3 linked regions of the Stegostoma tigrinum genome follow. The protein of the gene in region 3 interacts with the protein of the main gene of each other region in a pairwise test. Links are inferred from orthologs where the notes say so. Each region holds a gene or a part of one and is shown on either strand. Other genes may lie near its edges. The genes, in order: aamp, golga1 and vps52.

Evidence for each region.
Region 1: the proteins of vps52 (region 3) and aamp interact in a two-hybrid assay, tested with the Homo sapiens proteins (2 studies listed by BioGRID and IntAct). The link is inferred for Stegostoma tigrinum from reciprocal best matches to the Homo sapiens genes VPS52 and AAMP.
Region 2: the proteins of vps52 (region 3) and golga1 interact in binary tests that used the Homo sapiens proteins (3 or more experiments, as listed by UniProt). The two-hybrid records come from large-scale screens. The link is inferred for Stegostoma tigrinum from reciprocal best matches to the Homo sapiens genes VPS52 and GOLGA1.

The regions. Positions count from the first base shown.
Region 1 is NC_081360.1:104,059,546-104,063,295, forward strand, and holds the start of aamp (angio-associated migratory cell protein), read left to right. Parts: upstream 1-846; 5' UTR 847-1,291; coding exon 1,292-1,391; intron 1,392-3,750. Other genes in the region: si:ch73-71c20.5 (DUF4748 domain-containing protein), read right to left, coding at 804-840. UniProt on the Homo sapiens protein: Plays a role in angiogenesis and cell migration. In smooth muscle cell migration, may act through the RhoA pathway.
Region 2 is NC_081382.1:26,349,303-26,353,052, forward strand, and holds the start of golga1 (golgin subfamily A member 1), read right to left. Parts: upstream 2,774-3,750; 5' UTR 2,642-2,773; intron 2,553-2,641; exon of another isoform or gene 2,364-2,552; intron 1,174-2,363; 5' UTR 984-1,173; coding exon 852-983; intron 1-851. UniProt on the Homo sapiens protein: Involved in vesicular trafficking at the Golgi apparatus level. Involved in endosome-to-Golgi trafficking. Mechanistically, captures transport vesicles arriving from endosomes via the protein TBC1D23.
Region 3 is NC_081387.1:27,638,438-27,642,187, forward strand, and holds the start of vps52 (vacuolar protein sorting-associated protein 52 homolog), read left to right. Parts: upstream 1-1,508; 5' UTR 1,509-1,609; coding exon 1,610-1,642; intron 1,643-2,011; exon of another isoform or gene 2,012-2,211; coding exon of another isoform or gene 2,212-2,232; intron 2,233-3,750. UniProt on the Homo sapiens protein: Acts as a component of the GARP complex that is involved in retrograde transport from early and late endosomes to the trans-Golgi network (TGN).

The sequences.
Region 1 (3,750 bases), on a different chromosome or scaffold from region 3:
TCCCAGGCCCCAAGATGACATTCCACATTAAGCAGAGGTTCACCTGCACATCTGCCAATGTGGTATACTGCATCCACTGTACCCGGTGTGGCTTCCTCTACATTGGGGAAACCAAGCGGAGGCTTGGGGACCGCTTTGCAGAACACCTCCGCTCAGTCTGCAACAAACAACTGCACCTCCCAGTCGCAAACCATTTCCACTCCCCCTCCCATTCTCTAGATGACATGTCCATCATGGGCCTCCTGCACTGCCACAATGATGCCACCCGAAGGTTGCAGGAACAGCAACTCATATTCCGCCTGGGAACCCTGCAGCCATATGGTATCAATGTGGACTTCACCAGTTTCAAAATCTCCCCTTCCCCCACTGCATCCCTAAACCAGCCCAGTTCATCCCCTCCCCGCACTGCACCACACAACCAGCCCAGCTCTTCCCCCCCACCCACTGCATCCCAAAACCAGTCCAACCTGTCTCTGCCTCCCTAACCGGTTCTTCCTCTCACCCATCCCTTCCTCCCACCCCAAGCTGCACCCCCAGCTACCTACTAACCTCATCCCACCTCCTTGACCTGTCCGTCTTCCCTGGACTGACCTATCCCCTCCCTACCTCCCCACCTATACTCTCCTCTCCACCTATCTTCTTTTCTCTCCATCTTCGGTCCGCCTCCCCCTCTCTCCCTATTTATTCCAGTTCCCTCACCCCATCCCCCTCTCTGATGAAGGGTCTAGGCCCGAAACGTCAGCTTTTGTGCTCCTGAGATGCTGCTGGGCCTGCTGTGTTCATCCAGCCTCACATTTTATTACCTCTACTCCTGGAACAGGTCCTCCCAGCTACTGCCATCTTGATCCTCCAGAATCCCGGCAAGCAGCGGGGAGCACGGCAACTTCCTCACGGCTCATGCGCAGATACAGCCGCTGGTGAGACGGGACTTCAAATTCACGATTCGACTTGATTTACTCCAACGGATGACACTTAGGAGCGATCTGGGAAGAAAGACTCCATGAGGAGGAATCAGAGACGGTTTGCCCTCCATCAAGGCAGGACTACAACTCCCAGGGAGTCCCGCGGCGTGTAGACGGAACCGAACCCCGGATATTCCTTTCCTCACGGTTGTCCGGGTGATACCGAAAGCCGGTTCTGGATTGGCTGGAAACGTTGTCAATCATACATTGACCTTCCGGTTGGTGAGTCGGGCCTCGACAGGGCGCCTGCGAAAAGCCGCCTGGTCAACATGACCGGGTTAAGTCAGTTAGTGTAACTAGGTGAGCGGTAACTAGGGACGTGAGGGAGAATGGAAGAGGGGGAGCTGAGCCCCCAGCTGGAGTTACACCAAGGCGAGGAGATTGTGGAAGTGATCGAACTGAATCCCAACCAACAGCCGCAGGAGGAGGGTAAACATAGAGAGGGGGAGGGGCGTTAATGTGTAGGTGGGGGGCGAACATGCGTAGGAGGGGGCGGGGGGGAGGCGTATGGGGGGGTGAACACGCGTAGGAGGGTGGGGGGCGACTTATGGGGGGGCGGGGGGGCGACGTATGGGGGGGCGGGGGGGCGACGTATGGGGGGGCGAACACGTATGGGGGGGGCGAGGGGGAGACGTATTGCGGGGGGGCGAGGGGGAGACGTATTGCGGGGGGGGCGAACACGTATGGGGGGGGCGGGGGGGAGACGTATTGCGGGGGGGGCGAACACGTATGGGGGGGGCGGGGGGGAGACGTATTGCGGGGGGGGCGAACACGTATGGGGGGGGCGGGGGGGGGCGAACACGTATGGGGGGGGCGGGGGGGAGACGTATTGCGGGGGGGCGAACACGTATGGGGGGGGCGGGGGGGGGCGAACACGTATGGGGGGGGCGGGGGGGGGCGAACACGTATGGGGGGGGCGGGGGGGAGACGTATTGCGGGGGGGCGAACACGTATGGGGGGGGCGGGGGGGAGACGTATTGCGGGGGGGGCGAACACGTATGGGGGGGGCGGGGGGGAGACGTATTGCGGGGGGGGCGAACACGTATGGGGGGGGCGGGGGGGAGACGTATTGCGGGGGGGGGCGAACACGTATGGGGGGGGGCGGGGGGGAGACGTATTGCGGGGGGGGGCGAACACGTATGGGGGGGGCGGGGGGGAGACGTATTGCGGGGGGGGGCGAACACGTATGGGGGGGGCGGGGGGGAGACGTATTGCGGGGGGGGGCGAACACGTATGGGGGGGGCGGGGGGGAGACGTATTGCGGGGGGGGCGAACACGTATGGGGGGGGCGGGGGGGAGACGTATTGCGGGGGGGGGCGAACACGTATGGGGGGGGCGGGGGGGAGACGTATTGCGGGGGGGGGGCGAACACGTATGGGGGGGCGGGGGGGAGACGTATTGCGGGGGGGGGCGAACACGTATGGGGGGGGCGGGGGGAAGACGTATTGCGGGGGGGGCGAACACGTATGGGGGGGGCGGGGGGGAGACGTATTGCGGGGGGGGGCGAACACGTATGGGGGGGGCGGGGGGGAGACGTATTGCGGGGGGGGGCGAACACGTATGGGGGGGGCGGGGGGGAGACGTATTGCGGGGGGGGGCGAACACGTATGGGGGGGGCGGGGGGGAGACGTATTGCGGGGGGGGCGAACACGTATGGGGGGGGCGGGGGGGAGACGTATTGCGGGGGGCGAACACGTATGGGGGGGCGGGGGGGAGACGTATGGGGGGGGCGGGGGGGAGACGTATTGCGGGGGGCGAACACGTATGGGGGGGGCGGGGGGGAGACGTATTGCGGGTGGCGAACACGTATGGGGGGCGGGGGGGGGAACACGTATGGGGGGGCGGGGGGAGACGTATTGCGGGGGGTGAACACGTATGGGGGGGCGGGGGGAGACGTATTGCGGGGGGCGAACACGTATGGGGGGGCGGGGGGGAGACGTATGGGGGGGGCGGGGGGGAGACGTATTGCGGGGGGCGAACACGTATGGGGGGGGCGGGGGGGAGACGTATTGCGGGTGGCGAACACGTATGGGGGGCGGGGGGGGAACACGTATGGGGGGGCGGGGGGAGACGTATTGCGGGGGGTGAACACGTATGGGGGGGCGGGGGGGAGACGTATTGCGGGGGGTGAACACGTATGGGGGGGGAGACGTATTGCGAGGGGTGAACACGTATGGGGGGGGAGACGTATTGCGGGGAGACGTATTGCGGGGGGTGAACACGTATGGGGGGGGAGACGTATTGCGGGGGGTGAACTCGTATGGGGGGGGGAGACGTATTGCGGGGGGTGAACACGTATGGGGGGGGGAGACGTATTGCGGGGGGTGAACACGTATGGGGGGGGAGACGTATTGCGGGGGGTGAACACGTATGGGGGGGGAGACGTATTGCGGGGGGTGAACACGTATGGGGGGGGAGACGTATTGCGGGGGGTGAACACGTATGGGGGGGCGGGGGGGAGACGTATTGCGGGGGGTGAACACGTATGGGGGGGCGGGGGGGAGACGTATGGGGGGGGTGAACACGTATGGGGGGGCGGGGGGGAGACGTATGGGGGGGTGAACACGTATGGGGGGGGCGGGGGGGGTGAACATACAGAGCGGCGGGGGGGAAATGTATCGGTGGGGGTGAACATATGGAAGGGCGGGGGGGGGAGATGTATTGGGAGGGACAGACGTACACACAGGAGATGTGCGGGGGAGGGGGGTGTGATACCTGGGGGAGGCGGGGATGAAGCGCACAGAGGGGCAGGGGCTAGATGTATCGGTGGGGTGGACGTACACGTGGG
Region 2 (3,750 bases), on a different chromosome or scaffold from region 3:
GCAAGGTGCTGCATTTTGAAAAGGCAAATCAGGGCAAGACCTATCTACAACGGTAAGGTTCTGGGGAGTGCTGCTGAACAAAGAGACCTTGGAGTGCAGGTTCATATGTTATTCCTTTGAAAGTGAAGTTCCACATAAACAGGATAGTGAAAAACGCATTTGGTTTGCTTGCCTTTATTGGTCACTGCATTGAGTACAGGAGTTGGGAGGTCTTGTTGCAGCTGCAGTGGGCATTGGTTAAGCCACTATTAGAATATTGCACGGCCTCCCTGCTAAAGAAAGGATGTTGTGAGACTTGAAATGGTTCAAAACAGATTTACAAGGATGTTGCCAGGGTTGGAGAGTTTTGAGCCATAGAGGAAGACTGAATAGGCTGATATTATTTCCCCTGGAGCAGAGGGTGAGGGGTGACCTTTTAGAGGTTTGTAAAGTCATGAGGCACATGGATAGGCTGAATAGACAAGTTCTTTTCCCCCGAGTTGTGGGAGTACAAAACTAGTAGCCATAGGTTTAAACTGAGAGGGGAAAGATTCAGAAGTGACCTAAGGAGTGGCGTTTTTATGAAGAAGAGTGTGTTGCATGTATGGAATGAGCTGCCAGTGGAAGTGGCAGAGGCTGGTATAATTACAATAATTTAAGAAACATCTGGATGCATATATGAATTAGGGGGATGTGGGACAATTGCTGGCAAACGGGACTAGATTTATTATGGGTATCTGGTCGGCATGGAGGAGTTAGGCTGAGCATACAGCTCTATGACTAACTGCAACTGTTGATTCAGCCTGATGAAATCACAATCTTTCCACAAAGCCTCTTCAAAGATCTCAATTTTAGACATACAAAATACATACAATATCTTCTCCAGAGTCAGCTCCTATTGAAGTAATGGAGTCTCTGCTGACCGATCTTGGAATCCGTGCCGTACCAGGACGTGAGGTGTTGCCTGCCTCTTCAGCAATCTTCTTTTTCAGTTTTGCAAACATGGTTCTTCAGCTATATTTTTCAGAGGTGTTCCAAACCACCAAACTGTTTAAGGTTATCTGAAGTCTCAGATGAGTTTGGAAGAGAGACAGTGGATGTGCTTTAGAAAACAATGTACTCTGTTTGGCTCCTAGCTGCTCCTTAATAAGGCTCACTTTTTATATCTACTGCAAAAACCGTCCATTGCATCACCTGTCAGCAAAATAAAGTACATTAGATCAAGAAAATAACATTTCTACTGGTTCTCAACTGCAATCATAATATGTCAGAAATGATGTTTTAAAAAAAAAACTTTGTTTCATTATTCTATACAGCTTGGGTTTCACAACTGAAGTCCACTGCAATTCTCCTGTATACCCACATTTCTTTGTTTCCTACCCTAAATTCTACTTTAGAAGACCTGGCAGCCAACATACAAATATGTAACCACTAAGAAAGGGAAATGGGAAGAAAATTAAGTAAACATTTCAAAATTGTTCCATCCAACCCAAGTTCAAGCACAAAAACGGGCACCGGGTGTTTGCACGCGGGCTCAGTGCCAATACTATGAGAAAAGAGTATTTTGCGTCGCGCTTACATTGGACCAAACTGCAGAAAAGATTAATTAAAGTTTAATGACATGATACCAGTTTTTGTGCTACTTCTTTGATGCCAGAATTGTCACATTCTATTTCCCCAAGGACTGTTGGTAAATTCCATTCTTCAAGAATTCTGACAAGACCATGTTTTGCCTATGAACAAGACTATTCAATGTGCTGTTTCATTTTCCTTAACAATACAGCATTTTGTTTCTGCTACTTTTTCCAGAAGTTATGGTCACCTAATCTTTGGGATTCAAAACTACTTCTAATCAACTAATCACAGTATTATTCAAAGTTTCTTTCCTGTAAGAAAATATGACTCAAAAGGAATCAAACAAATGGACTGGAGCCAGTTCAGGTGAATAAATTCCAAATGGATTAGTCAGACTTTATAAATTTCTCATGATTCAGGAACAATGTCCTTGGGTGATCCATTATTTAAGGCACAGGAGGGACAACCTAGGTAGCAACACGTCTGTTAGTTTAACATCATTTATGGGGAATTTACTGGGAGAAATCGTGAAACAGAAAGAATAAATCTTTGAAACAAAACAGAAATTGCTGAAAAAGCTCAGCGGGTCTGGCAACATCTGTGAAGAAAAAAAAAATCAGAGTTAACGTTTCGGGGTCCCGTGGTCTTTCCTCAGAACGGATCTTCACAGATGCTACCAGACCTGCTGCGCTTTTCCAGCAATTTCTGTTTTGTTTCGGAACAGCAGCTGACAGCTTCTTGAGTGACAGTTTACGGGACCAGTCGGAAAGCGCGTCCATCCCTGTCGAGGGACAGAACAGCCAACCCACCAATCAGCAGCTCGTCAATAAGGTGGGCTCGGCAGCAGGTTTTAGTTCACCAAAGGAGGGCGAGCGGCCGAGCGTCCGCCGATACGGCCAACTTGGGTCATCACTCATGGTTCACTAAGCAATCAACTACCCACTGAAAGCTTCTGCTCGGCCGGATCTGTTATAAATAGCAGGTCACTTCCGAGAAGTTCGACACGAAATTGCCGATAACGGTAGGAACCATAAACTCCGGAGAGCGAGGACACCCGAGCAGGCACTTTCTCATGGCGACCAAGTACCTGAGTGTGTGTTAGCAGCAAGGCTCTATACACTACTGCTCCATCCTGTTGTCGGCCTTTCTCACCTCCGCTCAGCCGACGTGGCCGCAACGTCATCAAGTTCCCAGCGGCTTTCCTTCAGTCCAATCAGATTGAACGTTAGATCGGGGACTTGTGCCATTGTACCCATTCGCTGATGTATTGGGACTGCTGATTGGACCGTAGCCAAGCCCACCAAAACAAATCCCCGTCAGCAGCAGTGGGGGAGGCGCCGACGACGCCAACAACAGTATCGACCTGATCAAGAGTGAACTAGTGAGACAGTGCTGCTCCAAGAGTCTCGGAGGACTCGAATTCAACATCAACGGGCCCCAGATTTCCCTTCAACACAGCGTGTCAATTCTCCCAGACGTTACATCTTCTTGTCACTGCTGCAAGGAACCCGAGTGAAAAAGCACTAGGATTTTTTAAAACAAATTCACACACCACACATGAAGTAGGAAACTGAAACTGCACTCGAGATAAAACACGGAAGTGAGGCTGCTGATTGTGGGGCATGTGGACTTGATGGGCTGAATAGCCTGCTTCTCCTTTGCAAGATGGAATATTGCCCTCTTAATTTAGGGATATAGGCCTTAGGGTATGATCAGCTACGATCTCATTAAAATAGCAGATAGGCTCGAGAGACGTCCTGTTCCTAATTCAATCGCAAGCTGCCAGCAGAACTGAATCAAGGCAGTTGATAGTCTAATAGTACCGATGTCTCAAAGGTCTGAGGAAGAGTCATCTAGACTGGAAACCTGGGAACCCTGCAGCCCAATGGTATCAATGTGGACTTCACCAGCTTCAAAATCTCCCCTTCCCCCACCGCATCCCTAAACCAGCCCAGTTCGTCCCCTCCCCCCACTGCACCACACAACCAGCCCAGCTCTTCCCCTCCACCCACTGCATCCCAAAACCAGTCCAGCCTGTCTCTGCCTCCCTAACCTGTTCTTCCTCTCACCTATCCCTTCCTCCCACCCCAAGCCGCACCTCCATCTCCTACCTACTAACCTCATCCCACATCCTTGACCTGTCCGTCTTCCCTGGACTGACCTATCCCCTCCCTACCTCCCAACCTATACTCCCCT
Region 3 (3,750 bases):
TCTCCGGACGTGTAGGGGGTTTTAGTTGTGATGGGCAGCAGGTCGGTGCAGGCTTGGAGGGCCGAAGGGCCTGTTCCTCTGCTGTAATTTTCTTTGTTCTTTGTGTCAGCAAGGAAGGCAGGTGTACAATTACCTTCTTAACCACCCTGTCTGCATGTGACGCAAAACCTCACAGAATTATGTCGCTGAATCCCTAGGTGTCCTTGTTGTCCAACACCATCCAATGCCTAACTTTTAATTGTACAGGTCTTACCCTTGTTTGTTTCACTAAAATGTAATCTCACATTCACCCAAATTAAATTCCATCTGATACTCCCTCACCCGCATCCCAGGCATGAAGAACCGCAGGAGATGCTACACTTGTCCCCACACCTCCTCCCTCACCCCCATCCCAGGCCCCAAGATGACATTCCACATTAAGCAGAGGTTCACCTGCACATCTGCCAATGTGGTATACTGTATCGACTGTACCCGGTGTGGCTTCCTCTACATTGGGGAAACCAAGCGGAGGCTTGGGGACCGCTTTGCAGAACACCTCCGCTCAGTTCGCAACAAACAACTGCACCTCCCAGTCGCAAACCATTTCCACTCCCCCTCCCATTCTTTAGATGACATGTCCATCATGGGCCTCCTGCACTGCCACAATGATGCCACCCGAAGGTTGCAGGAACAGCAACTCATATTCCGCTTGGGAACCCTGCAGCCATATGGTATCAATGTGGACTTCACCAGTTTCAAAATCTCCCCTTCCCCCACCGCATCCCTAAACCAGCCCAGTTCATCCCCTCCCCCCACTGCACCACACAACCAGCCCAGCTCTTCCCCCCCACCCACTGCATCCCAAAACCAGTCCAGCCTGTCTCTGCCTCCCTAACCTGTTCTTCCTCTCACCCATCCCTTCCTCCCACCCCAAGCCGCACCCCCAGCTACCTACTAACCCCATCCCACCTCCTTGACCTGTCCGTCTTCCCTGACTGACCTATCCCCTCCCTACCTCCCCACCTATACTCTCTCCACCTATCTTCTTTACTCTCCATCTTCGGTCCGCCTCCCCCTCTCTCCCTATTTATTCCAGTTCCCTCCCCCCATCCCTCTCTCTGATGAAGGGTCTAGGCCCGAAACGTCAGCTTTTGTGCTCCTGAGATGCTGCTGGGCCTGCTGTGTCCATCCAGCCCCACACTTTGCTACCTCATTGCTGAAGGATTAATTAGCAATCGCGGGCAGACCTCGTCCCCGCCCGCTGTGCCTCCGACACTGGGAACCTTTACACATCTACCACCGCGACATCGCTAACACCAGGAGGCCTTACCGCGCCGCCGCGGTGCACCCCGGGAGGACGTGGGCGGCCGCTGTGCGCGCCGGGAGTTGTAGTCTTCGCTCCTTGCGTCCCTCTACTCCCCACCCCCACCACCACCCCCCCCCCCCCCCACCCCCTACACCACCCCCACCCCCTACCGAACTGGGTGAGGATCAGGGTCAAACCGCAGGGACCTTGTGGCCCGGATTTCTTTTTGGGGGGGGGGGGGAGAGAAAAACGAACCCCGCCCCCCCTCGGCTGGCCGGGGGATTCCGGTTCCGGGTGAGGAGACGGGCCCCGGATGTTGTTGCTATGGCGGCGGTGGAAGGCGGAGGAGCGGCTGAGGTAGGGACGGGACCGAAACCCCCCCTCACCCCCCGGGGGGTGGGACCTTGTCTATTCACCCTATCCAAGCCCCTCATGATGTTATAAACCTCTATAAGGTCCCTCCTCAGCCTCTGACGCTCCAGGGAAAATAGCCCCAGCCTATTCAGCCTCTCTCCCTGTAGCTCAAACCCTCCAACCCCAGCAACATCCTTGTAAATCTTTCCTGAACCCTTCCAAGTTTCACACCATCCTTCCTGTAGCAGGGAGACCGGAACTGAGAGCTGTATCCCAAAAGTGGCCCAAACCAATGTCCTGCCCAGCCCCAACATGACCCTCCCAACTCCCTGTACTCAACGCACTGACCAATAAAGGCTAATGTACCGAACACCTTCACCATCCTGTCTCCCTGTGAGTCCACTTTCAAGGAACTGTGATCCTGCACCGCCCCCCCCTCAACAAGGTCTCTGTTCAGCAACAGTCCCCAGGACCTTACCATGAAGGAGTATTAGTCCTGCCATGATTTGCCTTTCCAAGATGCAGCACCTCACATTTATCTAAATTAAACTCCATCTACTTGGCTGATCTGAATGAGATCCCCTTATACTCAGGTAACTTTCTTCACTGTCTACTACACCTCCAATTTTGGTGTCATCTGCAAACTTACTAATCATACCTCCAATTTCATATCTAAATCATTTCTATAAATGACAAAAAGCAGCGGACCCTGCACCGATGCTCGTGGCACACCACTGGCTTCCAGCCTCTAATTTTTTTTAAAAAAAACCCTACTGCCAACCCCTTCTGCCTTCAAACCAATTTTATATCCAATTGGTTAGCTGCCCCCTAGATCCCATGTGATCTAATCATGCTAACCAGCCTACCATGTGGAATCTTGCCAGATGCCGCACTGAAATCCATTTGGACAATATTCACCGCACTGCCTTCGTCAGTTTTCTTTGTCACGTTTTCAAACAACTCAGTTAAGTTATTGAGACATGATTTCCCACCTGCAGAGCCATGTTGATTATCCCCAATCAGTCCTTACCTTTCCAAATGTGTAGGAGGAGGGAGGGGAGGATTCACAGATAGACAGGGCAGTGAAGGTGGTGTTCAGTACGCTTTAGCCTTTATTAGTGAGTGCATTGAGTAGAGGAGTTGGGAGGGTCATGTTGGGGCCATACAGAACATTGGTCAGAGCCACTTTTGGAATACAGCGTGTTGAAGCCTCTGAAGTGTGACTTGAATCTGTGAAGGACCTTGAGTTGCTGTCTTTCAGACTTGAGGCTGAAGCAATGATTTCTTGGCTTGTGCAGCTGAAGCGAAAACTTGCCATGTTATTTTGTTTAAAAGGAGAGAAGGGGCAGTGAATTGTCCACTGTTCATCCCTCAATCAGCAGCAGCAGTCAACAAAATAATTGGACCTTATTTAATTAATTTCTTAGAGCTGGTTCACTCAATTGATTCCAGAGATGAGGGGTTTGCCTTTTGAAGAGAGGCAGAGCAGTTTAGGCTTACGCTGTCTGGAGTGTAGAAGAAAGAGAGGATATCTAATTGAGGGATAGAAGATGCTAATGGGGATTGAGAAAGTAGACATAGAGAGGATGTTTCCCCTTGAGGGGCAGTCTGGAAGGAGAGGTCATAGATTGGCCATGCTAAGTTGCCCATAGTGTCTAGGGTAAGGGGTGGGTCTAGGTAGTATACTCTTCAGAGGGTCACTGTGGACTTGATGGACCAGATGGCCTGCTTCCACACTGTAGGGATTCTATGATTTTCGGATAAGGGATGGCAGATTTAAAACAGAGATGAGGAGAAGTTACTTCTCTCAAAGAGCTGTGAACCTGTAGAATTCACTGCCTCAACGGATGTTGAGACACTGGGTCAACTTTTACTCGCTCACAGGATGAGGGTGTTGCTGGCTACACCTGCGTTTACTGCCCGTCCCTAATTGCCCTGAGGGAAGTTAAAAGTCCACCCAACATTGAAGTGATTGATTTTTAAATTAGTGGAAGGGTTGAAGGATTATGGGCAGGAGAGGAGTTGAGGCTGAGATAAGATCAGGCAGATTGGCATCAAATGGTGGAACAGGCTCAATGGGCTGGATTCCAGCTCCTGATTCTGATGTGGGT